Sus scrofa: one gene and its partners. The protein of the gene in region 2 interacts with the protein of the main gene of each other region in a pairwise test. Links are inferred from orthologs where the notes say so. Each region holds a gene or a part of one and is shown on either strand. Other genes may lie near its edges. The genes, in order: AP2B1, nuclear envelope pore membrane protein POM 121C-like, HOMER3, NFKBIA, TEX11, AGR2 and GOLGA2.

Evidence for each region.
Region 1: the proteins of nuclear envelope pore membrane protein POM 121C-like (region 2) and AP2B1 interact in binary tests that used the Homo sapiens proteins (3 or more experiments, as listed by UniProt). The two-hybrid records come from large-scale screens. The link is inferred for Sus scrofa from reciprocal best matches to the Homo sapiens genes POM121 and AP2B1.
Region 3: the proteins of nuclear envelope pore membrane protein POM 121C-like (region 2) and HOMER3 interact in binary tests that used the Homo sapiens proteins (3 or more experiments, as listed by UniProt). The two-hybrid records come from large-scale screens. The link is inferred for Sus scrofa from reciprocal best matches to the Homo sapiens genes POM121 and HOMER3.
Region 4: the proteins of nuclear envelope pore membrane protein POM 121C-like (region 2) and NFKBIA interact in binary tests that used the Homo sapiens proteins (3 or more experiments, as listed by UniProt). The two-hybrid records come from large-scale screens. The link is inferred for Sus scrofa from reciprocal best matches to the Homo sapiens genes POM121 and NFKBIA.
Region 5: the proteins of nuclear envelope pore membrane protein POM 121C-like (region 2) and TEX11 interact in binary tests that used the Homo sapiens proteins (3 or more experiments, as listed by UniProt). The two-hybrid records come from large-scale screens. The link is inferred for Sus scrofa from reciprocal best matches to the Homo sapiens genes POM121 and TEX11.
Region 6: the proteins of nuclear envelope pore membrane protein POM 121C-like (region 2) and AGR2 interact in binary tests that used the Homo sapiens proteins (3 or more experiments, as listed by UniProt). The two-hybrid records come from large-scale screens. The link is inferred for Sus scrofa from reciprocal best matches to the Homo sapiens genes POM121 and AGR2.
Region 7: the proteins of nuclear envelope pore membrane protein POM 121C-like (region 2) and GOLGA2 interact in binary tests that used the Homo sapiens proteins (3 or more experiments, as listed by UniProt). The two-hybrid records come from large-scale screens. The link is inferred for Sus scrofa from reciprocal best matches to the Homo sapiens genes POM121 and GOLGA2.

The regions. Positions count from the first base shown.
Region 1 is NC_010454.4:39,924,048-39,928,360, reverse strand, and holds the start of AP2B1 (AP-2 complex subunit beta), read left to right. Parts: upstream 1-1,482; 5' UTR 1,483-1,550; intron 1,551-4,313. UniProt on the Homo sapiens protein: Component of the adaptor protein complex 2 (AP-2). Adaptor protein complexes function in protein transport via transport vesicles in different membrane traffic pathways.
Region 2 is NW_018085157.1:60,619-64,839, reverse strand, and holds the start of nuclear envelope pore membrane protein POM 121C-like, read right to left. Parts: upstream 2,911-4,221; 5' UTR 2,817-2,910; coding exon 1-2,816. UniProt on the Homo sapiens protein: Essential component of the nuclear pore complex (NPC). The repeat-containing domain may be involved in anchoring components of the pore complex to the pore membrane. When overexpressed in cells induces the formation of cytoplasmic annulate lamellae (AL).
Region 3 is NC_010444.4:58,919,960-58,923,084, reverse strand, and holds the end of HOMER3 (homer protein homolog 3), read right to left. Parts: intron 3,019-3,125; coding exon 2,862-3,018; intron 2,515-2,861; coding exon 2,404-2,514; intron 2,296-2,403; coding exon 2,209-2,295; intron 1,081-2,208; coding exon 889-1,080; 3' UTR 611-888; downstream 1-610. UniProt on the Homo sapiens protein: Postsynaptic density scaffolding protein. Binds and cross-links cytoplasmic regions of GRM1, GRM5, ITPR1, DNM3, RYR1, RYR2, SHANK1 and SHANK3.
Region 4 is NC_010449.5:64,506,891-64,510,943, reverse strand, and holds NFKBIA (NF-kappa-B inhibitor alpha), read right to left. Parts: upstream 2,826-4,053; coding exon 2,599-2,825; intron 2,381-2,598; exon of another isoform or gene 2,031-2,380; intron 2,025-2,030; coding exon 1,916-2,024; intron 1,565-1,915; coding exon 1,354-1,564; intron 1,065-1,353; coding exon 976-1,064; intron 858-975; coding exon 597-857; intron 238-596; coding exon 190-237; downstream 1-189. UniProt on the Homo sapiens protein: Inhibits the activity of dimeric NF-kappa-B/REL complexes by trapping REL (RELA/p65 and NFKB1/p50) dimers in the cytoplasm by masking their nuclear localization signals.
Region 5 is NC_010461.5:56,922,248-56,926,391, forward strand, and holds the start of TEX11 (testis-expressed protein 11), read right to left. Parts: upstream 2,858-4,144; 5' UTR 2,842-2,857; coding exon 2,805-2,841; intron 1-2,804. UniProt on the Homo sapiens protein: Regulator of crossing-over during meiosis. Involved in initiation and/or maintenance of chromosome synapsis and formation of crossovers.
Region 6 is NC_010451.4:86,051,004-86,055,096, forward strand, and holds the start of AGR2 (anterior gradient protein 2 homolog precursor), read right to left. Parts: upstream 2,830-4,093; 5' UTR 2,792-2,829; intron 1-2,791. UniProt on the Homo sapiens protein: Required for MUC2 post-transcriptional synthesis and secretion. May play a role in the production of mucus by intestinal cells. Proto-oncogene that may play a role in cell migration, cell differentiation and cell growth. Promotes cell adhesion.
Region 7 is NC_010443.5:268,717,348-268,721,468, forward strand, and holds the start of GOLGA2 (golgin subfamily A member 2), read right to left. Parts: upstream 2,809-4,121; 5' UTR 2,749-2,808; coding exon 2,668-2,748; intron 910-2,667; coding exon 787-909; intron 1-786. UniProt on the Homo sapiens protein: Peripheral membrane component of the cis-Golgi stack that acts as a membrane skeleton that maintains the structure of the Golgi apparatus, and as a vesicle thether that facilitates vesicle fusion to the Golgi membrane.

The DNA of each region.
Region 1 (4,313 bases), on a different chromosome or scaffold from region 2:
TTTCATTTATATGTTCATTTCATTAATATAGGGAATTATCTCTAACTCTTGTTACATAGGGAAGTTCCCAAGCTAGGGGGTTAAATGGGACCTGCAGGCCTATTCCCCTGCCATGGCAACATCAGATCCGAGCAGCATATCTGTGACCTACGCTGGATCCTTAACCCACTGAGTGAGGCTAGGCATAGAACCTGCATCCTCACAAAGAAAACTCGGGTCCTTAACCCGCTGAGCCACAATGGGACTTCCTTGTCTGTAACTCTTGTTTTCATTTCCTTCCCATCTATCTTCGCACTTCTGCAGCATGGGCTTTGCCTTCATTATCTCTGATGGTCTCAGCAATGACATCAAAGACCTTTGTGTTGCTAAATCCTTGGACACTTTTCAGCCCTTCCTCCTTTTCTCTATAGCAGCTGTTACTGTTGACCACTCATTCATACATTTATTCATTCAACAAATTTGGGGGAGGGAAGCTGGGCCTAAGAGATATATAGTTCTTATACTTTCATAGAACTCTAAAAACATCCTACATCATTACAACTGCTTGCTTTTCCTTCTACTTCTCTACCCTTAGTCCTGTTTGTATTTTGGTTTCCAAGCTTCTGCCTCAGGCTGTCTTCCTATCTTTTTTGGTTAAATACTTTATTATTATTACTTAAGTTTTCTTAAATTACTCAATGAATTACATTTATAGTTGTACAGTGATCATCACAATCCAATTTTATAGGATTTCCATCCCACAACCCCAGCACACCCCCCCCCCATTATTACTTAAGATTAAGGTGGGATGTTTTGAGGGGAAGGTGCAGAGATTTTTGGATCTTGGTTTCTGAAGGAGGCTGCTTTTGTGCCAGCACCCATATTACATGCTAGGCATATTATCTACTTAATCCAGTTAAAACTTCACAAACTGGATTGAGTTATATCATTGGCTTTATTTTATAGGTAAGAACGCTAAGGTTGAGACATTAAGTTACTTTCATAATCACATTCAGGACAGGGATTCGAACTCAGCTCTGATGCTATGTTAGCCTCTTTTCCTTGCCCCACTCTCCTCCAGTCCCACTGGATCACCATTGGGCTGGATCACCATTGTTCACTTCCTTGAATTGGCCAGGAAAATTAGCCGGGGTTTTTTGTTTTTAACAGAAAGCAACAGGGGATTTTTACCGTATGTGTAAATTTTTAAAGAATACCTACGCGAGGAAACAAATTCCAAAGACTATCAGCTTGTTTAATAGATCCCTTAGGAGAGCCACTGAACTTCCTCAGAGGCCTTGACCTCAGGTCTCTCCCTGCCGCGCAAAATTTTTTCGTCTCCAAGGCGACAGAGAGCGCTGCCTTTCTGGTGCTCTCGCGCGCCTGGATGACGCCACGCGGCGAGGTTCTCTGACGTCAGGGGCTTCCTGTCCTCCATCTTTGTCCCTGGCAAAGTGGGTTTTGCGCAGTGGCTTAGACCTGGAGAAGGAGTCGTGACGTGCAGGAAACCATTACAACACCGCTCGGGCCGTGCTCTCTGGCCGCTGCCGCCACCCCCACCCTTGCCTCCGGTGAGTTCAAGGCGGCTAACTTTGGGGTGTGTCCCTCTTTGATGGGCAAGGGGGAACCCCAGGTTAGGTTGGAGACGAGCGGAGGAGAGGAAATCCTAGGAGCGTGACCGTTGAGGAGGGAGTGAGCCGTCGGGTGTGACCGTTGTGAGGAATAGGGTTGGAGAAAGGGACTCCACCGCTGAGGCGGGGCGGGGGAATCCTCGGGGTGGCAACTGGGAGTTGGGGGACACTGGGGGAAAGAAAGGTATATTTGAAGTCGGGGGATTACGAGGGCCATGGGCCAGGGGTGTGGCCAGTAAAGACTGGAGGCCAGGGGGAGACCCTTCCTTCCCGGTTTGGCGTCGTTCATTGAGAGGCTGGGACGTGTCCAGCCAGTAGAAGGGAAAAGGGATTCCCCCAAAGCTTTGCTCATTGATAAGCAATCCTCGCCAGTCTCCCGTCGTTTTGAGGTTGAGACACCTCTTCCCCACCTTGTAATGGAGGAACCTATCCCTAGAGTCATGACCATCTGGGGGGAGGAGGAGGAATTCCTGACGTTGGAGAAAGGGAAGAAAAACCTCCGGAATTGACCCTATGTAGGGGGAGGGAAGCAAGTGGGAGTAAATCTTAGCCCGGAATTTTTTCTTTCTGGTCTTAGCAGGAATGGTCTGGTTTGAGAAAGACTGTAGATTAAGACAGAGGTAAAGACACGGGAACTTCCTGTTATTCCATATATATTCTTTGAATCCGAAGAATTGATTCATGCTGTTTTCAGAGCACCCTTCTTTTTGGGGGCAGGCTTTTTTTTGAACTCTTTCATTACGAAGTTGTCATTATGCTGCCTCATTATGAAGCAGTGTGAATAAAATGTGGACGCTTCATTAAACTTTAACTTTTAAAAAGAAGTGTTTTTTAAATGCCAACACTGTTATAATTATTATGGTTTAAAAGAGAAAGTAAACGCCATAATTTTAGAAAAGGGAGAATGGCAAAGAAAGTGGTCTCTACGGGGAACAATTTAAATCATTAATCACCTTCCTGGTGTACTTCTATTGCTTAGCCTCAGGGTACACTTACAAAGTAATAATAGAAAGCAGATGAAGGAGGTGCAGCTGTACAAGAAAACGTGTAACACATTCCAATGATGACTAAGCGTGGTGGTAAGGTGAGAACTCTTTGCAGGTATCTTAACATTTTAAACTCCCAAAGAAGCAGAAAGCATAGTGTGTTCTGCTAATCGCCTCAGTGAAAGTTGGGTGGCAAAATTAATATAAGTTAACATTCTGTGATTGAAGAGACTCAAGGAAGTCCAGTTCAGAAGAACTTTTTCTTTTTTATACACGTCCATATTTTATTTATTTATTTACTTATTTTTGTCTTTGCCTTTTCTAGGGCGGCTCCCGTGGCACATGGAGGTTCCCAGACTAGGAGTCTAATCAGGGCTGTAGCCGCCAGCCTACACCAGAGCCACAGCAACGTGGGACCCTTAAACCCATATTTTAACCTGTTTTAGGCACAGGTTTTTTTTTTTTTTTTTTTGTCTTTTTGTCTTTTTGCCGTTTCTAGGGCCGCTCCCACGGCATATGGAGGTTCCCAGGTTAGGGGTTGAATCAGAGCTGTGGCTGCTGACCTAGGCCACAGCTACAGCAACACCAGATCCGAGCCTCGTCTGCAACCTATACCATAGCTCACGGCAACGCTGGATCGTTAACCCACTGAGCAAGGCCAGGGACCAAACCCGCAACCTCATGGTTCTAGTCGGATTTGTTAACCACTGTGCCACGACGGGAACTCCTAGGCACAGTTTTGAACCAAGGTGCATAGAATTAGATAGGACATGTTTTCCTTCCTTCCTTCTTTCTTTCCTTCCAGGCTTAAGTTTTCCAGAGTTTATTTCAGTTAAGAGTTGGATGTAAAACTTCTTTCCCACTGTATAGAACTAACAAATTACTTTGTAGTCAATTTTAAATGGAAATTACAGCTGTGTCTGTTGTAGTCAATTCTTGTAATTTCTTTTTTTTTTTGTCTTTTTGTCTTTTTTTGTTGTTGTTGTTGTTGCTATTTCTTGGGCCGCTCCCGCGGCATATGGAGGTTCCCAGGCCAGGGGTTGAATCGGAGCTGTAGCTGCCGGCCTACGCCAGAGCCACAGCAACGCAGGATCCGAGCCGCGTCTGCAACCTACACCACAGCTCACGGCAACGCCGGATCGTTAACCCACTGAGCAAGGGCAGGGACCGAACCCGCAACCTCATGGTTCCTAGTCGGATTCGTTAACCACTGCACCACGACGGGAACTCCCAATTCTTGTAATTTCTTATGCGATAAATGGTACCAGAAGATGCTATTGCCTTTGCATTATTGAAAATTCTAATTAGCACCGCTCACCTTTGTAATGAAAGATTGTAGAATGACCTTTTTGCTTTATAATTTGGTTTACTGTTTCACTTTTTCCCTATAAATACCAACTGTGTAAAGCCCAACTTTATGTGAAGAGAGGAGATTTAGTGGCCTCGCCAACTCTAATTTAGCTGCCATGTCCCAGAGAACCATTTGAAATTAACACCCTATTAATTTTTTTCTGGCCTGATTCTCTTTAGGGCAGTGGAAGGGGAGAGGAATAGTTGAGAAGGGACTTTTACAACCTATATTTAGTAGAAACTAGGTTATGTTAAATCTAGATGTATGATCTTGTACAGAGAGGCCTTTTCTGAAATGCAGTGACATCACACTCGGAGCTAGGAAAATAAGAGTAATTATGTTTTCGACTGTGGCAGCTTTATTTAT
Region 2 (4,221 bases):
GTCGTGCTACTGGAGCGACTGGCCCCACTGCCGGTGGTCTGGGCTGTAGCTCCAAAGCCAGAGGTGGTGGCTGCACCAAAGGAGAAAACGGCTGTGGTGCTGCCAAAGGCTGGCTGGGGGCCGGCAAGGGTGCCCGAGGCAGAGGCTGTGGCTTTCAGGCCACCAAGAGTGGACTGTGTGGTGCTGCCAAAGGCTGGCTGGGCTGTGGCTGGAGTGGCAGTCGGGGCGGGGGCTGCAGAGTTTCCCAACGTGAAGGAGCTGCACAAGCTGGGGACAAGGGATGGCTTGGCAGCCCACTGCTGCTGCCCATCAGTGGCCCCAAACCTGGGCTGGGCGTTGGATCCTGGCTTGGCACTTGAGCCAAAGGGAACGCTGATGGCTGGGCGGGGGGTGCTACTGAATGTCAGCGTGGCCTGGCTGGTGGTGGCTGGGGCAGAGGCTGGAAGGCTGCTGCCCAAATCACTAAAGCCAGCAGTGCTAGCGCTGCTGCTGCTGCTGCTGCTGCTGCTGCTGCTGCTGCTGGCCACTGCCTGAGGGGCACCGGGAAGGGACTGGCCAAAGCTGGTGACTGCTCTTGAAGGAGGCATGGTGGGAGGCTTACCAAGCTGGACTATGGAGCTGGAACCCACAGCTGGGTTTGTGAAGCTGCCACCAGAGGCAGAGGGAGTCCCAAAGAGGACGGGCTGGGAGGTGGAAGCGGTGGTGCTAGTCACGCGGCTCAGGGTGCTGGTCATGCTGCTCACACGGAAGCTGAACACGGGCTTCAGAGCAGAGTCTACGGAGGTGCCAGCTGTGGTCGCAGCAGCCACTGCAGAGGTGGCGCGGGTCTGGCCAGGGAAGAGAGGGGCGCTCATAGCACTGGCTGGAGGAGCTGCCTGCTTGAAGAAGGGAGTTACTATGGGCACGGATGCAGGGGCCTCCCTGGTGTGAAAGCCAGGTTTAAAAGTGCGGGATGGGCTGCGGGTACTTGCGGGGAGGGCTGAGCTGGAAGATGTGGTGGCTGGGACCTTGGAAGGGCTAGAGGGCAAGGGGCCCTCGTTCTTGCTTTTAGGAGGGGGCCAAAAAATGGGATCTAGCACGGGAGATGGTGAAGACACAGCAGGAGCTGCAGAGGCAGGAGGCTTAGCAGGTGAGGTGCCCAGCATTCTACAAGGAATGTTCTGCTTGGGAGGGGGAGGGGGGGCCGACAAGGCTTGGGAGTTGGCAGACGTCTCAGCCTCAGGGGCTGGAGGTGACTTGGTGTCAGTGACTGGTCCTGTGGAAGAAGCGGGGGTAAGGGTGCCGCCACAGAAAACGGCTGTAGGTTTGCAGTCCGAGGAGGTGCCCGCGAGAGGCCCTGACTGTGAAGAGCCAAGAGGGGCCAGAGGGCTGGGTGTCTTCGGAGGCGAATGGGCCACAGGGCTTGCCATGCCAGCAGACTTGGGGGGCGATGGTAGGCCTGGGGAATCCTGCTGCTTCTTCAAGCTCTTCAACAGTGGGCTAGGGCTTGGGGCTGGGAGGGAGGTTTTGGTGGCAGGAGTCCCAGCAGTAGGCAGGCTGAAAGAGACCGGAGGCTGACCGGTAGGTGGGTTCTCAGGGACAGCGCTCAAGGCAGTATCAGTCTTATCCTCCAAGATCTCGCTGAACCATTGTGACAAAGCTTTCTTTTCCAAGTCTAAGTCTTCCGCAGTGACTGAATACCCAAGCTGGGGAGGTGGAGGCAAGGTCAGCTGCTCCCCTCGCCAGGACCGCAGCAGCTGCACCTTCCGCTTACGCTGCCCTGAGCTGCCAGGTGTTGGTGGAGAACTCCACGAGTTCTCTTTCTCCCTTGTGGTGGTATCGGCAACTTCTGCTCCCTGGGACTCCTTGTCTGTTGTGAATGCAGTTGAAGAAGCCGAATGATGAGAAAGTTCCTCTTCTCTTATTTCCTTTGCTGGCCTCGCTAGAGCCTGGGAGCAGGACGAAGCTGGCCTGGAGAAGGGGGATGACCTAGGACCACTCCTCTTCCGCAGCTGAGAGAGACCTCCAGTAGAACTGTAAGAACTGGTGATGGCATTGCGCCTGGAGATGGGCACGCCGCCTGAGTACGTGCTGGTCAAGGAGCTCAGAGAAGAGGTGCGTGACCTCTTATTTAAGTGGGCATCTGAGCTCTGGGGACTGAGACCTCTCTTCAGAGACCCAGGCTTAGGCACAAAAGAGGCAGGGATTCCACTGGCCGCCAGCGGCTCAAATGCTGAATGTCCACGTCCACTGCTGTCCTGGCGCCTTCTCTTTTCTTCCTGGCCATCAGCCAGTATTTGGTCTTCCTCCTTCACCGTCCTTTTCTTCCTCGCTCTGAGGGCACTCAGCACAGTCTCCTTTGCACATGGGTCTGGGGCACTAGCTGATGGGGAGGACACGGTTGAGCTGCTACTCTGCTCTGATAGCGGGGGACGAATCCGCTTGCTATCCGGAGGAGCAATCCTCACTCTCACTGGGCTGCACACCACTTTGGAATTGCGAGCAGAGAGCACAGTCTTCCTGTGACAACTATTCCAGCACACCGTGGGAAGGACCCCCAGCGAGGCATAGTGGGCCTGCTGGATTGGGTATCTCCTTCGAGGTGTTATTACAAACCGATGTGCTACAGGGCCACAACCCCGGAGGGCCGTCCTCCTAGAGGGTCGGGGAAGAGGAGTGGGTAGGGAGGGGTGAGTATGAACCCCGGGGGTATGGCCTGATGGAGCTGGCGGCATGGGGCGGGTGGGCGGGCGGCGGCCAGGCCTCTCCCGCAGGTCCCTGGCCTCCGAGGTGGAGGCAGGCTGCGGGGGGGCGGGCTTGCCTAGGTAGTTGCCCATGAGGAACAGATGAGCGCGGGTCCAAGTCCTTGGAAGAGGCGCGGAGGCTCTAGGAGACTTCCGTTTACTGCTGACTACGCCGGAGGCAAGGTGAGCAGTGTTCCATGGCAGCGCGCCTTCAGAACCAGCGAGGTTCGGAAGGCGCGTGAACCTCGGGGGGCTCGCGGCGCAGGCCCCACCAGGCCGCGGTCGCCCCCACAGCTAGCCAGGCCAGCGTAACCGCCACCCCCGCGGGCACCAAGTACAGCACGAGGCCCAGCAGCCACAGGCCCAGCAGCGCTGCCCCTGCCCCTGGCGGCACCAGCCCACAGACCCAAGGTCCCTAACACTGGCTATCAACCTCCGCTCCACAGGTTGCCTCCTGCAGTCACCGCAGCTGCTGCAGACACCGTGACTACGCAAGCAAGGGTAGCCCCGGAATAAATAATAATAACAAACAGTCAAAAATAAAACCCCCAAAACAAATGTGCATGCGCCAGATATACTTGAGTGAAAATAATCACATAGGTAAGATACAGACACATATACCTATATCATAAAAATGCTTGGAGAATGTCAACTTTAGGATAATGCTACACAGGCAGGGGATGAGGCTATCAATGAAGACAAAAGGGGAACCTCAGTGGGATGTACTGTACTTGATTTTACAACACTTTCCAAATCTGAAATAGACCTAAGTAACATGTTAAGACATGTTAAACATAATCTCCATATGATGAATGATTCATCATCTTTGTATTTTTATCTACGGTTGAAATAATGAGAAAGTGGAGAAACGTACTACATGTCTGTATGTTAAAATGTTTAGAGGATTCAGAAAAGAACACAAATAAAACACTATCTTTACATAGATAGACAGGTAAATAGTCTAATATATTCGACCAAAATAATAGTCTTTGGTGCCCCACAGTTTTAAAACTTCCAAAGGACCGATTACTTGTTCCCTCATATGACTACATGACTTGTAATCATTCAGATGATTCCATCTGAATGGTTAAAAAGAAACCAAATGAGGTCATCTCATTTGAATGTAAATTAGTACAGCCATGGTGGGAACCAGCATGGAGATTCCTCAAAAAGTTAAAGGAAAAAAAAAAAAATACCATAGGATACAGCAATTTCAAACTGAAGGACATGAAATCGGTACTTCAAAATGATATCTGCACTCCCATGTTCACTGCAGGAACATTCACCATAACCAATATAAGAAAACCAGGTAAGTGCCCAACAACAGATGAATGGATAACGTGTGTGTGTGTGTGTGTGTGTGTGTGTGTGTGTGTGTGTGTGTGTGTGTGTGTGTGTGTGTGTGTGTGTGTGTGTGTGTGTGTGTGTGTGTGTGTGTGTGTGTGTGTGTGTGTGTGTGTGTGTGTGTGTGTGTGTGTGTGTGTGTGTGTGTGTGTGT
Region 3 (3,125 bases), on a different chromosome or scaffold from region 2:
AGTGACCCCAAGCCAGTGTCACCCTGGGTGTGCAGTGGGGCCACAGAGCGAAGGCGTGTCACTTGCAGGAGATGCTCAATAAATGGATCTTTTGACTTTCCTGGTAGGACTCTCAGGGAGAGGGGGCAGAGGGAGGAGGGTGTGGCCGCCTGTGGTTCTCCAGCCCCTCAGAACATCATGTCGCCCCCACCCCTCCCCTCAAGTTCTTCATTCTGCTGGACCAGCCCCAAAGCTTTGAACTGCAGGGCTGACCATTCCAGCTAGGTGACCTTGGGTTGGTGAAGCCCCTTATATGGGCCTCATCTGGAAAATGGGAACAGCAAGTGCCCTACTCTGCAGATGCAGATGTGAGGTTTAGGCGAGATCACATGCTAGCGAACACAGCCATGTTCTAGGAGCTTCCCCACCCGCCCACCTGGTGGCATTGGGGGTTTATGGCCAGAGCGAAGGGGGGCAGGCTTAAGCAGGGTCTGCCTTAGTCCAAACTGGTCCAGAAAACATGGGCAGAGCCCTCCAAATGGCTTACCAAGCCCTATACAGACTGAGGGCGGACAGAGGGCCCAGTGACGGCGGTCAGGTACCCATGGCTCACACACCACACACACACAGCCACGCTTAGAAATGTAATGTGGGCACTGGTATGCACCCCAGGGAGTCTAGAAATTCTACACAATGAAAAGCTCAAAAACAGCCTCCGAGCTGTGAACAGCCGGGGCTGACTAGAGTACGGTGGACAGGCCTTCCCCAGGCTGAGCTGGGCCCCAGTCCCTGTCAAGGTGAATGGCCCACTGTGCCGCCTGCGGCCTGGCCCGTGCCCCAGGCGGGAATCGTTCATGTAAAACCAGCTCCCGTGGGCACCCCTGCCCCCACGTAGACCCGGAGGCAGACTCAGGGCGCGCCCTCGGCCAGGCGGGCCAGGCCCTCCCGCAGCTCACTCAGCTCAAAGAGCCTGACGTCCAGCAGCTGCGCGGCCCGGCCCACCTCGGCCCGTGCCCGCTCCCGCTCTACCCGAGCCTCCTCCAGGCTGCGCTCAGTTGCCCGCAGCTGGTGCTCCAGTTCCGCGTTTCGGGTCTCCAGGTCCTGCAGGGAGAGGGCAAGCAGGGTTGGGGGCCCCAGCAAGTTTGAAGGGTCCAGCATCTCAATGGTATCCCCACAGCCTCCACTCTGGGCCAAACCTTCTATGTCACCTGGCTTCCCTGGTCCCCCTGCCAACTTGAACATCATTGAACTGACCACTTTCCTCTTCTATTCAAAACTCTCCTGTCACCTATCACGCTGGGAATGAAATACATAGCCCTCTTTCCTCTCTTTGTTCATTCCAACTCAGCCTTGCTGGCTTCCTTGTGGTTTCTTGAACATAATGACTCCCCCACCCCACCCCAGGGCCTTTGCACATGCTGAACACTCTGCCCAGAAGAAAACAGGGAGCATCCCTCTCCCAATTTCTCTCTCTTTGGGGGCAGAAGAGATCCTCTAAGTTCTCTACCTGCTGGACTCACAGGACATGCCCCCAGGAACATTTCTCAGATAAAGTCTTCAGTGAAAGCCAGGCCAGCCGCACATGGGTACAAATGAAGGCTCCCAACCTCAGGCTGGGGATGTGTGAGGATTTGATGGGGTCAAGAATGGAGATTCAACAGAGATTCAAAAACTGCTTGTTGGGAGTTCCTGCTTCGGCTCAGTGGGTTAGGAACCCAACTAGTATCCATGAGGAGGTGGGTCTGATTCCTGGCCTTGCTTAGTGGGTTAAGGATCCAGCGTTGCTGCAAGCTGCTGCGTAGGCCATAGATGTGACTCGGATCTAGCACTGCTGTGGCTGTAGGGTAGGCTGGCAGCAGTGGCTCTGGTTTGTCCCTTAGCGTGGGAACTTCCATATGCTGCAGCTGTGACCCTAAAAAGCAAAAAACAAACAAAAAAAACAAAACAAACTCAAAACTGCTGGTTGCATGAAAGGAATGAGATGAAATATTATACTAATAACTTGCTTATAAACCACCCACTGTGACTCAATCCCTCCATGTACCTGGTCACCTGAATCCTTCACAACCTTAGATGTCTTCCTGACTGCATTCATAGATGAAGAAACTGAGGCTCAGGGAAGCACATAGCTGCCCAGAACCCACCAGGAAAGGGAGATCCCATGTCTGTCCCATACCAGGGGCTGGGGGCCCTAGGCAGTCATCCCACCCTCACAGCAACCACACACACCTGCACCTTCTGCTGTGTCTCCTCACGTTCGGTGGTGTCTGGTGCCTCTCGGGTCCCACCAGTCTGGCTCTTCAGCGTCTGGATCTCCTGGTGGAGAAGTTCCCAGGATCTGTTCTGAGGGTCCTGGCTCCCCCATAGGAGATCAGGGAAGGCAAAGTCCAAGGAAACACACATGCACACAGACAGTTCACACACCTGGTCCTTGGTTTGCACTAGTGCCTCCAGTTGCTCCAGAGACTGGCCCGGCCCCTCCTTCTCAGTGACTGTGGGTGGCTCAGTGGCAGCCTGGGCCTCCAGTTCAGCCACCTGCAAAGATAGGAGGGTCAGTTCCCTGACCCCCAGTCTGTACTCTGCTGACCCGTGGGGAATATGCCTCCTGATCAGTCAAGCCCATGACTGGGCACTCACCCCTTCTATTTGGGGCCACCACCCTGACTCTGGCAGATGAGACTTTAGGGTCCTAAAGGTAGGACAACCCTCTGAGGCTCACATTATTTCAGACCCATACTACAGAGCACAAAACTAAGGCTCAGGTCAGGGAAGAGACCTGCGGAGATCACACAGCCAGCCAGCGGACCCGAGACAGACAGGGCGCAGGGACTTCACAGTGGCCTGGACCACTTGGGGTCTCTGGGAGGGAGGGGCTCCCTCACCCGCTGCCGCAGCCTGTCGGCCTCTGCGCGCTGGGCCTCCAGCTGCTGCCTCCACTGGGCGGCGGCGGCGTTGGCCTCTCGAAGGGCGCCCGCCAACTTGTTGTTACTGTCCTGCAGCGCGAAGAACTCGGCCTCCCACTGCACCTCGCCCACCGAGCTGCGGGAACACTGGAGTCAGCAGAGGGCAGGGCGGGGCCTCACTGGGCGGAGGACCGGGTGAGGGCGGTGCTGTGCTAGGGGGCGTAGTTATGGGCGGGGTCAAGA
Region 4 (4,053 bases), on a different chromosome or scaffold from region 2:
AGTTCACAAGAATAACAAAATCGGGGCTAATCCACCAGAGCAAAATGTTTCAGGCCAGGCAGTGTGCGGTGTGGTTATAAGTATACCCTTTTTTCTTTTTTTTTCTTTTTTTCTTTTTTTTTAGAAAAATAAAACTCTTGATTTTGTACAAATGTACAAGTCCATGGTCTTTTAGACACTTTCCAAAGCTCATAACGTCAGGCGCTGGCCTCCAAGCACGCAGTCGTCATAGGGCAGCTAAAAGGGGAAAGAAAGGCATGTTAAACTTCCAGAACTTTGCCAAAGGTGCTGGGGTGATGGCAAGGGCTGCTACTGGAAATAACGCAAGTATTCTTGGACTCCGTTCCCTCTAACCCGAATCTGAATTAACTTCCTGGGCTGAAGTTTTCCTTTAAGGATCCTCTCCTTCAAAAAGAGCAAAAAAGCAAAAGAAAACCCCAGACCATAATCCTCCCCCTAAACCTACTCTTAGGACACTGCTTATGCTCCCTAATTTGAGATCCTCATTATGTTGAGACCCTCAGGAAAAGGAGGAGCTCTAGGGGTCCGAGAGCATTGCTTTTTGCAGACCCGTGAACAAGGTCATTGGGACTCACCTCATCCTCTGTGAACTCTGACTCCGTGTCATAGCTCTCCTCATCCTCGCTCTCTGGAAGCATCTGGAGGTTTTCTAGGGTCAGCTGGCCCAGCTGCTGCTGTATCCGAGTGCTTGGGCGGCCCCAGGTGAGCTGGTACGGGGAGTAGCCCTGGTAGGTGACTCTGTTGACATCAGCCCCACACTTCAACAAGAGCGACACCAGGTCGGGATTCTGCAGGTCCACCGCAAGATGCAGGGCGGTTCGGCCATTGCAGGGCTCCTGAAACCAAAAGGAATTTGAGATGCTTATGGCTGAGTCTGAGGTTTCTGCTAGCAGCAAGAGCATGTGATCTTATTGAGGGCTGAATGCCCTCCATCTGTAGGCTTGAAGCACCCACCTGAGCGTTGACATCAGCACCCAAAGACACCAACAGCTCCACAATGCCCAGGTAGCCATGGATCGAGGCTAAGTGCAGACATGTGTGGCCTAGAGTACCAAAAGTAACAAAATATAAGCACTTGTTGCCACCCTCACTTCTCAGAACTTTCACCTATTCTTTTAAGGGAGGAGGTCTTCTGAATTTGAAGAACCCAGACTCTGGGTTCTGAATGGACTTTAGTAAGGCATCAAATGCATACATGTTTTACTAAGACCTTGATGCATACATGTTTTCTCAGCCTTTCACGTGTTGAGAGTTTACACCTTGCCTTAAGTCGGCCCACCTCTCCCTTGTCTGTGTCACGTGCCCTCTGATGCATAGGGCAGCCAGACTTACCATTGTAGTTGGTGGCCTGCAGAATGGAGTGGAGGTGCTGGGTCCCGCGGGGCTGAGTCAGGACTCCCACACTGGCCAGGCAGCCCTGCTCACAGGCAAGGTGTAGAGGGGTATTTCCTCGAAAGTCTCGGAGCTCAGGATCACAGCCAGCTTCCAGAAGTGCCTCAGCGATTTCTGGCTGGTTGGTGATCACCGCCAAGTGGAGTGGAGTCTACCAACAGAAGAGGGACAGAAAGGATAAGCCATGGATCAAACCCACAATCCATGTTCCCCTTGAACCCTAGAGATATCCTGGTTGTGCGTGCCGCTCCTCCCAGACAGATACAAGGGGTTAAGGAAACAGACGGGAGACCCCAGGTGGGCTTCATAAAAGCCTCACCAAATCAATGGGATTTTTCCTTCCTCTCTAGGATGTTGGCTGATTCAGATGTAAAAGCTCAGGGCGGATCATGACTAGGGGCAGTTAATTGGGAAATCATTGGAAATAACTGTGCTAGATCCAGCTCCATCAAGGGGTCAGAGAGGCAGAACCCAAGAGGCACGGGGCGGGCAAGCAGCGCACCTGCTGCAGGTTGTTCTGGAAGTTAAGAAAAGCCAGATCTCCCTTCACTTGGCGGACCACTTCCATGGTCAGTGCCTTCTCTTCATGGATGATGGCCAAGTGCAGGAACCTGAGGGGAAGAGAGGGAAAACCCCCAGGGCTGGTGAGTGCACTGCGTGGGGCCCAGGGAGGCACAGCCCGCAGGGGATTGCGCAAGCCCGGGGTTTCTGGAGGCCGAGGCCGCGGTGTTTTCCGCGAGGTTATTATGAGCTGAGTGTTCCTGGCAGGCACCCAGGGACTTTCCGCCCCCCCCCCCTCCCCAGGCGGCGGGCGCCGGCCAGACCGCCCCGCCCTCCCGCCGGGCCGGAACGCCCTGTACTTCCCCTCCCGCCCGCCAGCGGGGCAGAAACTCCCGCCCCCCCTTATGCAAGCGGGGACTTCGCGTCCCCGTGGCCGCCCCGCCCCCGGCCGAGGGGACCCGCAAAGGTGGGTGAGGGGTGGGAGGTGTGCACGGCTGCAAGGTAGAGCCGCGGGACCACGGCCCCAATCCCCGATCCCCGGCTCCCACGCGCAACCGTGCACCTTTGCACAGCCTCGGGGTCCGTGCACGAACCCCGATTCGCGGCCGCAGCGCGGGCCCCGCACCTCCGGCTGCAGGCCCAGCGCCCCCACCCGGCCCCGCCACCCGGGCCCGCGACACTTACGAGTCTCCGTCCTCGGTGAGCTGCTGCTTCCAGGGCTCGGCGCCGCGGGGCGCCTCCTGCGGCTCGAGGCGGATCTCGCGCAGCTCCTTCACCATCTGCTCGTACTCCTCGTCCTTCATGGAGTCCAGGCCGCTGTCGTGGCGGTCATCCAGTAGCCGCTCCTTCTTGAGCGCGTCCCGGGGCCCCTCCATGGCCCACTCCTGGCCGGGCTCTGCGGGCTGGAACATGGCGCGATGAGGGCTTGGGCGCTGCTCCCTAGGTGCGCGGGCCACAGGCTGCGCGGCGCGCTGGCTGCTCGCGGTGGCTCGGGCGGGCGGGACGATGGCCTCGGACTGTTGTGGGCTCGGCAGCGCCGCCGCGGCGCCCTATAAACGCTGGCAGGGGATTTCTCCTGGGCGGGGTCAAGCTCGGGGAATTTCCAAGCCAGTCAGACCAGAAAAGAGAACTGGCCTCGTCCTCTGCTGGGGGAAAAAGAAGCCTAAACCCCGCGCCCGGGTTCATCAGAGAAACTCCCTGCGATGAGCCACTGGGGTCATGTACAGGGAACTTTTTAATGCACGCTGAGTGGCTGGAAAGTCCTCCCGACCCGGCCCCCTCCCCCGGTACTTCCCTGCAGCCTGCAGTCAGTAATCCTGGCCCTCTGCATGGAACCTTATTTTCCCTGGGGTTTCCCACGATCGATTTGATTTGGGGTCGTCGGCTGCTAAGATCCCAAGGATGGAGAACTGCTGGTTTGCTGACCTGCCGATGCTTTCCTTTTTTTTTTTTTTTTTTTTTTTTAATCTCTTGAAAATGGGAGTGGAAATGTTGGCTGGATCTAGGGATTCACTTCCCTAAACTCCTGGGGAAGGACACACTGAGGGTGGAAGGTCGCCGGCTGCCTCTGCGTTCCTACCAAAGACCAGGCTCCTGGCAGTGCAGGGACATAAACCTCCCCCTCCCTCAAGCCCCCCTCAGGTAGAAGTCGTGAAAGCTTTAGCATTAACAGCGTAAATGCTTAGAGAACCCTCAAATCATTTCCTCGGTATGAACAGTCCTGTTGACTGGGGGAGGAGCAAGCACTCTGCCCTGGATGCTGGAAAATGCTGGATATGACTGGGCTATTTTTCAGGGAAAGCAAGGTGTTAATTTTTATAGCAAAGGTTGTAGATACTTTGCAGTGACAAAATAATTACTGAGGTCGTGTTCCTCCATTTGCACTGTGCTGCTGCAGAGAACCTACTTGTGGGGGCCGCTTTCTAGAAGCATTTGGAGAAGGTGGCTAAAGAATGGGTTGAGTAGTATTTTACCCAAGATTGGGCCTTAAAGATGGCTAAGAAAGTAGTTGCCAGGCATACTGCAGGAGGCTCAGGGCAGCCCCAAGGTGGCCTTCATCCTGCCCCTGCTGGCTTCTTGGGGGACAAAGGAGGGGGCAGCAGTTGGACCTGTCCATGCCATATGGGTAGCTACTCCAGG
Region 5 (4,144 bases), on a different chromosome or scaffold from region 2:
ACCCCTAGTCTGGGAGCCTCCATAAGCTGTGGGTGCTGACCTAAAAAGCCAAAAAAAAAACAAAAAACAAAAAAGCAAGTCCAGGAGTTCTCACTGTGGCACAGCAGTTTAAGAACCCAGTGTTGTCTCTGTGGCAGCACAGGTTTGCCCTCAGGCCTGGTGCAGTGGGTTAAGGATCTGGCATTGCCACAGCTACAGTGTAGGTCATAGCTGCAGCTGGGATTCAATCCCTGGCCAGGGAACTTCCATATGCCAAGGGTACAGACCAAAAAAAAGAAACATGGCAAGTCCAAAATGAGATATGCTTTAAGTATAAAATACATATCAGAAGTTCCCATTGTGGCTCAGCTGGTTAAGGACCTGATACAGTCTCTATGAGGATGCGGGTTCAATCCCTGGCCCTACTGGCCCCACTCAGTGGGTTAAGGATCTGGCATTACCACAAGCTACAGCACAGGTTGCAGATGCTGCTCAGATCTGGTATGGCTGTGGCTGTGGCGTAGGCCTCAGTTGCAGCTCCAATTTGACCCCTAGCCTGAGAATTTCCATATGCTGCACGTGCGGCCATAAAAATAAATAAATAGATGGATAAAACACATATCGGACTTAAAAGACTTTGTACAGAAAGAAAACAAATAATGTAAAATATTTCATTAATAATTTTATATTGATTACGTATTGAAATTATAACATTTTAGACATACTTAGCTAAATAATTTATATTATTAAAATTAATTTTTTTCTTCCTTTTTTTGGCCACACCCTCAACATATGGAAGTTCCCAGGCCAGGGATCCAATCTGCACCAAAGCAGTGACAATCGGATCCTTAACCACTAGGCCACTGGGAAATTCCCTATTTAACCTTTTCTATTTTTTATTTTTGTCTTTTTTTTTTTTTTTTTTTTTGTCTTTTCTAGGGCTGCACCCATGGCATATGGAGGTTCCCAGGCTAGGGGTCAAATCGGAGCTGTAGCCACCAGCCTATACCAGAGCCACAGCAACGCCAGATCCAAGTCACGTCTTCAACTTACACCACAGCTTACGGCAACGCCAGATCCTTAACCCACTGAGCAAGGCCAGGGATCGAACCCACAACCTCATGGTTCCTAGTTGGATTCGTTCACCACTGAGCCATGACAGGAACTCCCCTATTTAACCTTTTTTAAAGTGGTACTAGAAAATATAAAATTATTTATGTTTGCATTACATTTCAATTGGTCAGCACTGCCCTAGAGCCTCACACACTGGTGCTCAAGAAATAATTTAGTGAGTCATAAGTAACATTTTTTAAAATGAAAAGGTATAGAATATTACACATCATAGTGCACTGCATGTAATAAGGTTAAAATGATTTCATTAAACTTTTGATATACTGTGATGTAAAATACATTTCCTTGCCATAGGTGGTGGTCAAAATGTTTGAAAGCTCTTGATAAACTCTCCAAAATAGTGTTAGTTGTCATGCTGTTGTTTGTAATAGCAAATATTTGAAACAACTCATACATCCAACAAAGTAGATTGGATAAATTGTGGTACACTCACATTAAATGTAATAGTGCTAATCAATAGTGTAAATAAATGAACTAGAACTAAAATATCCACATGGGTAAATATCCAAAACATAATACTGAGCAAAAAACACAAGTTGCAGGGGAAATAAAAATCATACAAAATGATACAATTTATGCAATATTTTAAAAGACGAAAAACAGGTACATTAATCTTTTAAGTTCTTTGGAACAGCAAAACATCTGAAGCATATGGAAAACTATTAAGATTCAACAAAACTCAGTGGTAGTTACATAGGTATTCATTATATTATTCTCCTTTTCTCTGTGCTTCAAATATTTATTTAAACACAATGTCTAAAAAAAATATACTTAAAAGTCATAATCTCTATTTAATATTTATATTTTTAAGATACTATAACCTAAATTAAAATTTAAGGTAGCTGGTAGTGGGCTTTGTTATTGCTTCAAAATGACAAGTGCTAACAAACTATTGACCTAAACTTTCTGAAATCATAGATTTGTAGCCACCTTGGTTACAACATATTTCACTATTATATGAAATCAGATCTGATCATATCCCCAGAAAAAATGAAATGTGATAAACTCTCCCATACCTGGCATGGTTAAGGAATCTGGTGTTCTAGTCAATCAAATAACTTTTGTTTACTAAGAATTCATACATAGAATACTAATTTTCAAAAGAATTAAGATACTACATATATATACATATATATACTACATATATATGAGCCACTGTACTATACATCTGAAACTAACACAACATTGTAAATCAACTATACTTCAATTTATTTTGGCCACGCCCAAGGCATGCAGAAGTTCCAGGGCCAGGGATGGAACGGGTGCCACAGCAGCAACCCAAGCCACAGCAGTGACAATGCCAGATCCTTAACCCACTGAGCTACCAGGGAACTCCTAATTTATTTTTTACTGATGATTATGGAAAGGCACTTCAGGACCTAACAGTAATTTTTAATGTATTTTTAACACAATAAATTTCTATGTCAAATTAATCCAGTGTCACTTTGCATGCCATAAAAATCCAAAGAAAATAAGCTATGAATTGTGAATTATTATGAATTCTATTTCCCTACACTAACTTATAAAAGGGCTCCAGCGTCTTAAACATCCACCCTGTTTTCTGGTACCAAAATGAGAAAAACTGGTTTTATAGATATTCCAGAAAGATAAAATTAGGCAAGGAAATTCATTTAGAAGATCTTACATAAGTCAGCAAACAGATTGACATTTTCTACCATATATAAGCTATATACCTTTAAAGTCCATGAAACGAAAATCAATATCGTCCATTTTTAATATCTCTCGGTCAGGCCTATGAAATAAGAAAATACTTTAATATTCTGTAACTCATCTTCCAGTTTCTCAATAAATTTCAATTTTTTCTTATTACTTGTTAACCAAAAGAAAAAATGCTGTGAAAATTTTAAAACCCAAGAAAAAAGCAGTTATGAGAGGCAGGACCAGGTTGCCCGGCCACATGAACCCGGGCTAGAGGAAATTTTCATCCCAAGTCTCTTCTTAGGACAATCTGCCCGGCAACACGAAAATCGGGACTTGGGGTACCCTGTGATTGGACCGCCTGGTCCATACGTTCAAAGCAACCAATCACTGACACTCCTTTTTCCCGCTCTCACAGACCTGCCTAGCGCCTCAGCTCCCCGCCCCCACAGTCACCAACCGTCAGCCTTCAACCGATTTTAGGTCCTTCAAATCCAAACTACAGCATCTATCATATTCCGTTTTCAGTGATCCCGCAACGCTCCCCCATACTTCATCCAAGTCCAAAAATCCTGCCTTCGCCCACCTTCCTTCATCCGAGAGTCAGCGCCATAGTTCAAAACTGTCGCCTCAGGATCACTTTAAAAGGTGCTGACCTAACGGGTCACATCTTCTTGCTAGTTAGAACCCATCCAACTAACCTGCATCTGACGCTCCTACAAAGACTACTCACCTCAGCCAGGACCGCTGACAGCACAATGCTCTCTGTGACCGACCACGGCCCTGCAGTGCCAGTAACTAACGCTTGGAAAGCTCCTCCCCCCATAGTGACGTCAATCAAAGGCACCGCCCAATTGACCTTTGCCCTCCATCGAGAGTCTGAGCCTCCTGGTGGCACAGTGCGGGCATTAAGTTCTAGGGATGCAGTTCAGAGGGCCGGGGTGAAAATCACTAAAAGTGAGGGAGTATAGTGCAACACTGAAACATAGCGCAATTGTTGTGAGAAGTGTGCAGGTGTGGAGAATTAGAGAAAGAGGAGAGAAAGGCTTTGAAAGAAAAAAGGGGATGGGAGAAAAAGGAAGGGGTTAGAGGAAGGAAGAGAGGGAGGAGAGGAGCGAGGGGGGAAAGAAAAGTAAACAATGTTGCCCACTGGTTATTAAAGAGTCAGAAATGTCATAAGTTGGGAGGTCCCCTTGTGGCTCAGCACGTTACAAACCCTACTAGTATCCATGAGGTTGTGGGTTCAATCCCTAGTCTCAGTCAGTGGGTTAGGGATCCATTTCTGGGAGCTGTGATGTAGGTTGCAGACAGGGCACAGATCTGGTTGCTGTTGCTATGAGTGTGGGTAGGCCGGCAGCTGGAGCTCTGTTTTGAC
Region 6 (4,093 bases), on a different chromosome or scaffold from region 2:
CACAACCAGGGGATGTAATAGGTAGGAGGTGAGGCTTAGATGGGATTGAACACTTACAATTGAATGAAAAACTACCTTCCATAGACATTTCCTAAGATTATACAGTATGAATGCCTATCTATTTATCTGTCTGCCTCTATTTAGATGTAGATCCAGATAGATAAAATATACTGATGAAGATATCCATAGAAATCTACAATATAGGAGTTCCCCTCATGTCTCAGCAGTAAACGAACCTGACTAGTATCCATGAGGATATGGATTTGATCCCTGGCCTCACTCAGTGGGTTAAGGATTCTGAATTGCTGTGGCTGTGTCATAGGCTGACAGCTGTACCTACAATATGACCCCTAGCCTGGGAACTTTCATATGCTGCATGAGCAGCCCTAGAAAGCCAAAAAAAAAAAAAAAAAAAAAAAAAGTATAGAAATAGATTCAGATATATTTTAAGGAAATAAGATATATATATATTTTTATAGCTAAGGGGATTTGCTTTTAAATTTTATATTTAAAAAATTTTTGTGGTGGAATGGATCTTAGGGGTTGCCTCTCCTTTTCTCCCATCTCCCCAGTGCCTCATTTCATAGGTGAAGAATCTGAAATTCAGAGAAATTAAGACTAATGAGATGGGCATAGAAGCAAAGTTTTTGCACCTTATCACTTTGTGGTGCTGGCTCCCATCTTTTCATCCTGAAAAAAATTACCCTAGATGTACATTTTGTTAACATGAGGACATTGCCATTGAAAAATAAGGTCTGAGTAAAATGATTTTTTTCATTTGAAAACTGCCAACTTTCAGCTAGAGACTTGCAGTCACACAACGCTCTCCCTAGTGTAACATTTACTCAGACTCTATATATTGGTTCTGAATTGGTTAAAATACATCGGTGCAAATTTCTTCCAGTGAGCTGATTCTTTGACTCTCAGTGTGAGCCTGTATAATAGGCCCACAAAAATATATGGCCCACACAGAGAAACCAACCCCATGGATGCCTCTTTGTTAATTGTTTTTCCTTTCCAGTATTCCAAAGTTAATTCTCTCGAATGTTACACTACCGCAAAGCAGATTCTTATAAGCAGGAAAGTGGAGGGGAAGGTATGATCCATGAGTATGTGAGGGAGTGAGCTAGCCAGCAAAGTGACTTGCACTAGCAAATCACTAAGGTTATCCAGGGACCATAACATGTAAAGCTGGAGGCTTGGGATGCTAGCAAAGCCAAAGACTGAAACTGGTTAAAAAGAAACACCCCACTCTAATACTGGTGTTGGTTTGAAATAAATATATTTTGCAAAGGAATCAAGATGGACTACTATAAAATTCTTGGTCTTTTTGAGGTGTAAATTTTTTTTCTCATCTTCTGATGGCTTGAGTGGGAACTTTTGCTAAGCATTATCCAATATTAAAAAAAGGCATTGCCAAGTTACCAAATCTAGATGATGTCTTGTATTAAACTGACTGATTATTATCTATGTTGTACTATGTAGCCACACAATGTCTCACTCAAAAATGATATAAGCAAAAATAGAGATATACTTTCTTCATCTTCTATACACTTAAAGATGCAGACATGCCAATAACAATTTTCATATCCAGCATTTTGGATAAAAAACTTAAATGTGATATAAGTCAACAATGCTCAGCCTTCTTAGTACAAAGACTTCTTTTTAATATAAGCAACAACAATAACAAAACTCAAGAACCTTTATATGAGAATAATTACTTTTGGGATATTTGCTGAGTCAGAAAAATATCATGGCAAATAATGACTTTAAATTTATTAACAGATATTTGATTTTGTATTTGATTTATAGCAATGTATATTAGAAAAAATAACAGTGAGCAGTGATGTATTCATTTAGTCCATTGACAATTCTCATTGTGCAAGTGGCATTAGAAACCCTTGCTATAGCTCTGAAGCTGTCTGATTGGAACTATTGCTATCTGATGTGTATTTTACGCCAGGATGACTCAAAGAAGCTGAAATCACTCCTGTTGTATAAACATCCTGCTCTGAGCTGACTGAGATTCACTGTACCAGGTTTTCATTACATGAATAGATGCTGCTCTGCAAATTGCCTGCCTAAACCACCCCAAAACAGAAGACATGGTAAGACACTGATAATTTGGAGACACACACACACATACACACACACTGAAACCAGCACTTTTTACTGGTCCCTGTATCTTTGTCTTCTCGACTTTAGCAAGGAATGACTTGCAGGAGGTTCTGTGTTCCTGTTCATAAATGCTCCAGGAAAGCAACCAGATCTCTCCTTTTACAGCCTATCCCAAAATTTAAAGATTGAAGAAGCAACAAGGATATCTTTATATCAGGTAGAGAAAGGAAACTGCTGATTTGCAGTAATATTCTGAACTGCGGTTCCAAGCAACCAATCTGAGCTGAGGTTTTACAGTTCTGTGGGTCTTGGTTTTAGCCAGTGGGACCGAAGCAGAGCATTTGATGGTGATCAAGGCCCAGTGACCAAGACAGAAGACCCAGGGTTCTGTGCCAGGCTTGAAAACTCCCAGAGTTTGCTCACTTTAAAACCTCTGTTTCCTCAGGGAGAAACCATTACCCCTGAATCTGCTCAGAAACAGAGCTCTGCTAAAGAGAGGCCCCAGGAAACCTTTGTTGGAAATTCCATTATTTCCTCCCCAAATTCAATTTCACTGCCCTTGGGACTACCCTGCATTCCTCTGCCTGTTGATTGCCTGCAACTTTATACAGTAACCAGAAGCCAGCACTCACTCTAACAAGTGCCCTTCTAATACTGCTGTCAGGAGCCTTACCTGAGTTTCCCCACCCACCTGTCTGTGTGAGCCGGCAGCGATGCGGTCCAAGCTTCCTAGTGTGCTGGCTCAGCCCAAGCCTCTATTTATGCACCTGAGCGCACCTCAGTCCCACCCACTAATCCCGTATTCACAGGTTGCAAACCCCCAAAAGGAACTTTTCTTTTCCCAAGTCCCCCGTAGGCTAAAGAGTTCTTGTTTTTTAAAAATAACACTGCAAAGGGGTTGCCTTTCAGTATGCATGTTTTTAACTGTTTGTGAAAGTATATTGTTAAGAGATTTGGAAAAGATGGGCAGAATGCCAAATCCAGGTAAGCTTTAAGTGAAGACATTTGATTTGCCTGAAGGTTGATTTGTCTTTATGTGATTGGATGGAGTTTGTGGTTTGTAGAATTTTTTTTTCTCCCTCTTGGGCAGATAGCCTCTATTTAGTTGAAAATGCACAAGAGATGATTCACAGTTCTAACTCTTACCGTCATATGAGCTGCTGTCCTCCATTAGAGTATAAATTATTTTACACAATGTACTTCCTCTCCTTGGCAAACAAAATGTACACTCACTATACGTATGAAAAAATACAAACCAAGCCTTCACATAGTATTTTAAAACTAGGGCAGTTATTGAAAAAAAAATCCTAATACTATGAGTTTTTATTAATGACCTTGCAGCCATTTCCCTCCAAAGAATTCTAGGATATTTCATAGATCTTCTCTCATTTAATAGCATACTTTCCTGCCAAGCATGCAGGAAGCCATTTATACCATTTTCAGACCTAGAAACTAAGGTCTGCAACTACTTTTTCTCATTCAATATTATGTAATTATTCACTCAACATTTTAAAGCTGAACTCAAATTTTCTGTAAAAAATTTTAGTTGTGTGGTTCTCTTGTGGTGCAGTGGGTTTAGGATCCAGTGTTGTCACTGCAGCGGCTTGGGTCACTGCTGTGGCACAGGTCCTATCCCTGGCCCAGGAACTTTGACATGTCACAGGCACAGCCAAAAAGCTTTTTTTTTTTTTTTTAGTCTTTCTTGTGTTTTCTTCATGAAACTGTGTGTAACCTTTCAAAGTTCAGAATGGAGAAATCTTCAACAACAGAAAATTAATTAATGGGATGCAAGCCCTACAAAAATAACTTTTAAAAGAAATTAGGATTGTAATATTTCAAAACATTTTCAAGTCTGTAAACTTTTTTTTTTTTTTTTTTTTGTCTTTTTAGGGCCGTACCTATGGCATATGGAGTTTCCCAGGCTAGGGGTCGAATCATAGCTGTAGTCGCCGGTCTACGCCACAGCCACAGCAAC
Region 7 (4,121 bases), on a different chromosome or scaffold from region 2:
GCCATCTTTCCTACCAGCCCCTGGCTGCCTTGCCAGAGACAGAAACCAATGTAAACAAACAGGTGGAAAAGTCCCCTGGAGGATGCAGTCACGTAGTTCCTTAGACGAACAATGCAGCTCTTCACGGCAACTCAGACCCTTAGGCCCAGACGTTTAAAAACCAGACTTCAGAATAAGGGTCTGCTTGAACAAAGGGGGCTACCACTAAAAAACTGAGTTTGAAAGACAATGATCTGATCCAACAGTGTCATCTTCACAGATGAGGAAACTGAGGCCCAGGGGAGGAAGTGATTGTCCTGAGGCCACCTAGCAAGCTGGTGGCAAAGATGGCCTTGAAACTCAGACGGTCTCCTAATCCAAGTGCCTAGGAACCCCCTCAGATCACCCTGGGGCTCTGCTGGTGCTTCTACATGGAGAGCCTGAGGGCAGGCGGCTGTTGGCACTGCCTGGCTTCCCCTTGAGGCTGGGCGTGAGGAAGATGGCCAGAGTCAAATAGCAAGGACTCCTGATTGAATGTTTACTCTGCACCAGGCCCCGTATTAGGGGATTATTATAAAACCAACGACAATCTCATTCAAGCTTCCCAAGGGTAAGACAGTACGACCCCAGTTTTACCAATGAGGAAATAGACCCAACGAGTTTAAACAAGTTGCCCCAAACACATCCCCAGCAGAGGAAGAGGTAGAATTCAGACCCCAAATTCTTAGCCAATATCTGACATTTCTTCCACAATCTTAACCACTACCCTCTACTGTTGTCCCCGGAAGCCAGCCAGGCAAGACTCACATCCTCAGGTGTGGGACAATCCCCAGAAGTGGTTGTCTCAGGGCTACTGCCATTCTTGATCTTTCTTTTTTTCTTAGCTCCTGCAGGAACACCAGGGCTGTGCTTCTGCTGATATTCCCTTAACTGCAAAAAGGGAAAAGCAGTGAGACTCATGAGAACTATAAGTGCGCCCCCCCCATTTCACATCCTACTTTAAAGTTTACAAAATACAGAGGTCCCCCATCACGGTTCAGCAGAAACAAATCTGACTAGTACCCACAAGGATGCAGGTTTGATCCCTGGCCTCGCTCAGTGGGTTAAGGATCCGGCATGGCTGTAAGCTGTGGTGTAGGTCACAGATGCACCTCGGATCTGGCATTGCTGTGGCTGTGGCGTAGGTTGACAGCTACAGCTCTGATTCGACCCCTAGCCTGGGAATTTCCATATGCCATGGGTGTGGTCCCCCCAAAATAAAATAAAATTAAAAAGATTACAAAATACTCTTCCATATGCCATCAGATTTAATGTTACAGCAACTCTACCAGGTGTCATAATTGTCCATGATTCAAGAAAGGGACTGATAACATGGCTAGGGAGGGGGAAAAAAGCAATAATGGGTAATAAGGGAATTTAAACTCAGTCTTCAGACACTGAGTTCTGGGGTTATGACATCTGTCAACAGCTGCCAGAGGCAGAGGTGGAAAAGTAAACATTTAATCAGACATCAGGGTCCTTTCTTACACCTGTTAGAGCTGCACACCAGTTCTTATCAAACTTTCACACCCATTATCCTAATGGCAGAAGACAGTGAAAGCAACACCCCTAGTAAATCTGGAAATGTAACAGAAAGGGGACAACTCAGAGAGAAGTCTATTACAACCTTATGAGTCTATGCAAATGTCATCCCTAACTACATTAATACGAAAGGCTTCTCTCTCAAGAGAATCAAGCCAAATTGATGCTGCGGTCCCACATTTCATCCTGCGGCACTTAGGATGTTGAGATGATGATTTGGGAAAGATTCCCCAGCTGGGAAGTTCAATTTCCGGGGATCTGTTCCACAGAGGATAAGCAGATCTCACTCCAAAGAGCACTGAATGAGGGGCACTCTGGCCTCAGATTCACAGGGAATTAGAGATAGAAAATTCAGGTGAAAAATGTGAAAGTCTCTCTGGATGGAAACCAGGGAGAAAACCAAACTAAACAAAACACATTCTCCCCATTGCCACCCAGAGATGATGTCCATGTTTTGAGATCACTGGTGAAGTGTAAAGCGGGGGTCTTTTACGCTATCAACATCCAAGGATGGGGTACAGTCTAGAGTAAAGGGGCCTGAAACCCAAGTCGGACCTAGGTCCGATAGTTCCGACTTCCCATCAAGCTGGAAATCTGTGCCGCGGCCAAAGAAACCGGAAAGGGTGGGAAAACACTAGGGGACCGGGTCGTAGTATCAAACACCGGGGCTCGGGCTCCGGGCGGTAATGACAGTTCCGAGGGGGATTATGACGTAACTACATTCCACTCCTCCCTCCCGACGCCCGAGTCGCCGCTCCGCGGTGGGGGAGGGGAGCGCAAGGCCAGGACCGAGGTCCTTGGAGACCGGGAGACTAGGGAGCCCAGGGAGCCCAAGAGGTCCGGTTCTGGGCGGCGGGAGGCGAGGGCCGAACCTGAAGCGGGAAGCCCCGGGGGTCACCAGCCCAAAGTCACCCGGGGGTGACGAGTGAGGGCGGGGGCTGGGCTGCCAGGGGGCGGGACTGGCTGAGAAGACTTTTTGAGGGGGGCGCCAAGGGGCGCCGAGGGGCTCGCCCCGTGTGCCTTGGAGGCAGCACAGACTCTGGCCATGGCCCGGCCATCGAAGGGGTCTCGGGCTGAGTCAGGGAGCCGCGACCCCGCGTGTTTTACCTTTTTCTTGGCCGCAGCCAATTTGCTCTGTCGGGTTTCTTCCGACATCCCGGGACGGGGCGGGGGAAGGGGGGGCCACATCAGCACGATCCCGGCAACCACCGCGGAATTGCTTCCGGCAGTCACCGCGCCACTGTGCGACTGAGCCAGAAAAGGAGGGACCGGGGCGGTTCTAGGCAGCAGCGGCGTGGGCGTGGCCTAGATTCTCCAATCCCATTGGCCGATTGGAAAGATGAAAGGAAAAGGGGGCGTGGCTAGGCCGCCGCGAGCCAGGTGGAACGGGTGGAGTCATAATACAGGCTGCGCGCGCAGCCGCGGTCCCCGCCCACCTCGGCGGGGGGAGGGGCGGGGCCTGCTCTCGCAGGGTGCGCGCGCAGCTGGCTGTATAACGACTCCTGGTCTCCATCACAGGATTCGGAATAGCTGGCGGGCTGAGAGGCCTCTTTTTCGCCCTCGCCCTGGACCCTCCTGCACTGCAGACCCCCCCGAGTCGGGGGCCCCGAACCCCAGGGCTGAGGAGGTGGGCGAGGAGCGGACAGCACGGGGAAAGCACATCCCTTCCCAGTCCCTCTCGCTCCCGTAGCTTTGCCCCCAACTTTCTTTTCCCTGAGATCAGCTCCAGAGGCCTCCATCCGCTCCTCCACACTCTACCCCCTGTCCGAATACCCTCCTCGAGGAACCCCACCCTGATCCCGGGAGCATCCAGTCGCGGTCGCTCCTCCCGCACGGCTGTCCCTCCTCTCACACCCCCAGAGTACCGCTTTCCTGCCGAGGCGGACTCTGGGTCCAATCAACTTTTTCCCTTGGATTCCTCTCCAGGACTCAACCAGGACTTTCCAAAAGCTGCCGCGGGGCCTTCCGATCCCCTGTGAGTATGCCTCTGCCCCCTCTCCGGCCCTCCCACCCGGTTAGCTCCCTCGGCTCCCAGCCCCCCTCTCCGTCCCCAGCAGCGGCTGACCCACCCGCTGCCCTCTTCGAGGTCTTCCCTCAGCTGACCTCATTCTGCGGAGAAAGTCCAGGTCATTTCGCAGTCCTTCCCCTTCTTTTCCTCCTGCCCACCAAGCTTCAAAAAAGAAAGAGCATCCTGGCGTTCGTCAGTGGTACCCCAGGCTCTGCAAGTGGGCTCCGTCTCTCCTCCTTCCTGCCAGCGCCACAAGTGGTTGGTTGGTTTCCTTCTTTCCACACCACTGTCCCTCCCTCCCACTGTCCCTCCCTCACCCGTTCCACCCCCTTGGAAACCACTCTCATTCCCTCAAACACATGTGCTCTCTCCTGTCTTGGGCATTTGGATACACTGACCCCTGTCTGGGATACTGTTTTTCCAGCTTTTGGCCAAACTGATACCTACGCATCCTTTAAAGCTGAGCTTCCTCAGAGAAATCTCAGCCCCACTTTCTGGCTCAGGCCAGTGGCTCTGTGAGACACTCCCTTGGCTCCCTGTACTTCAAAGCACT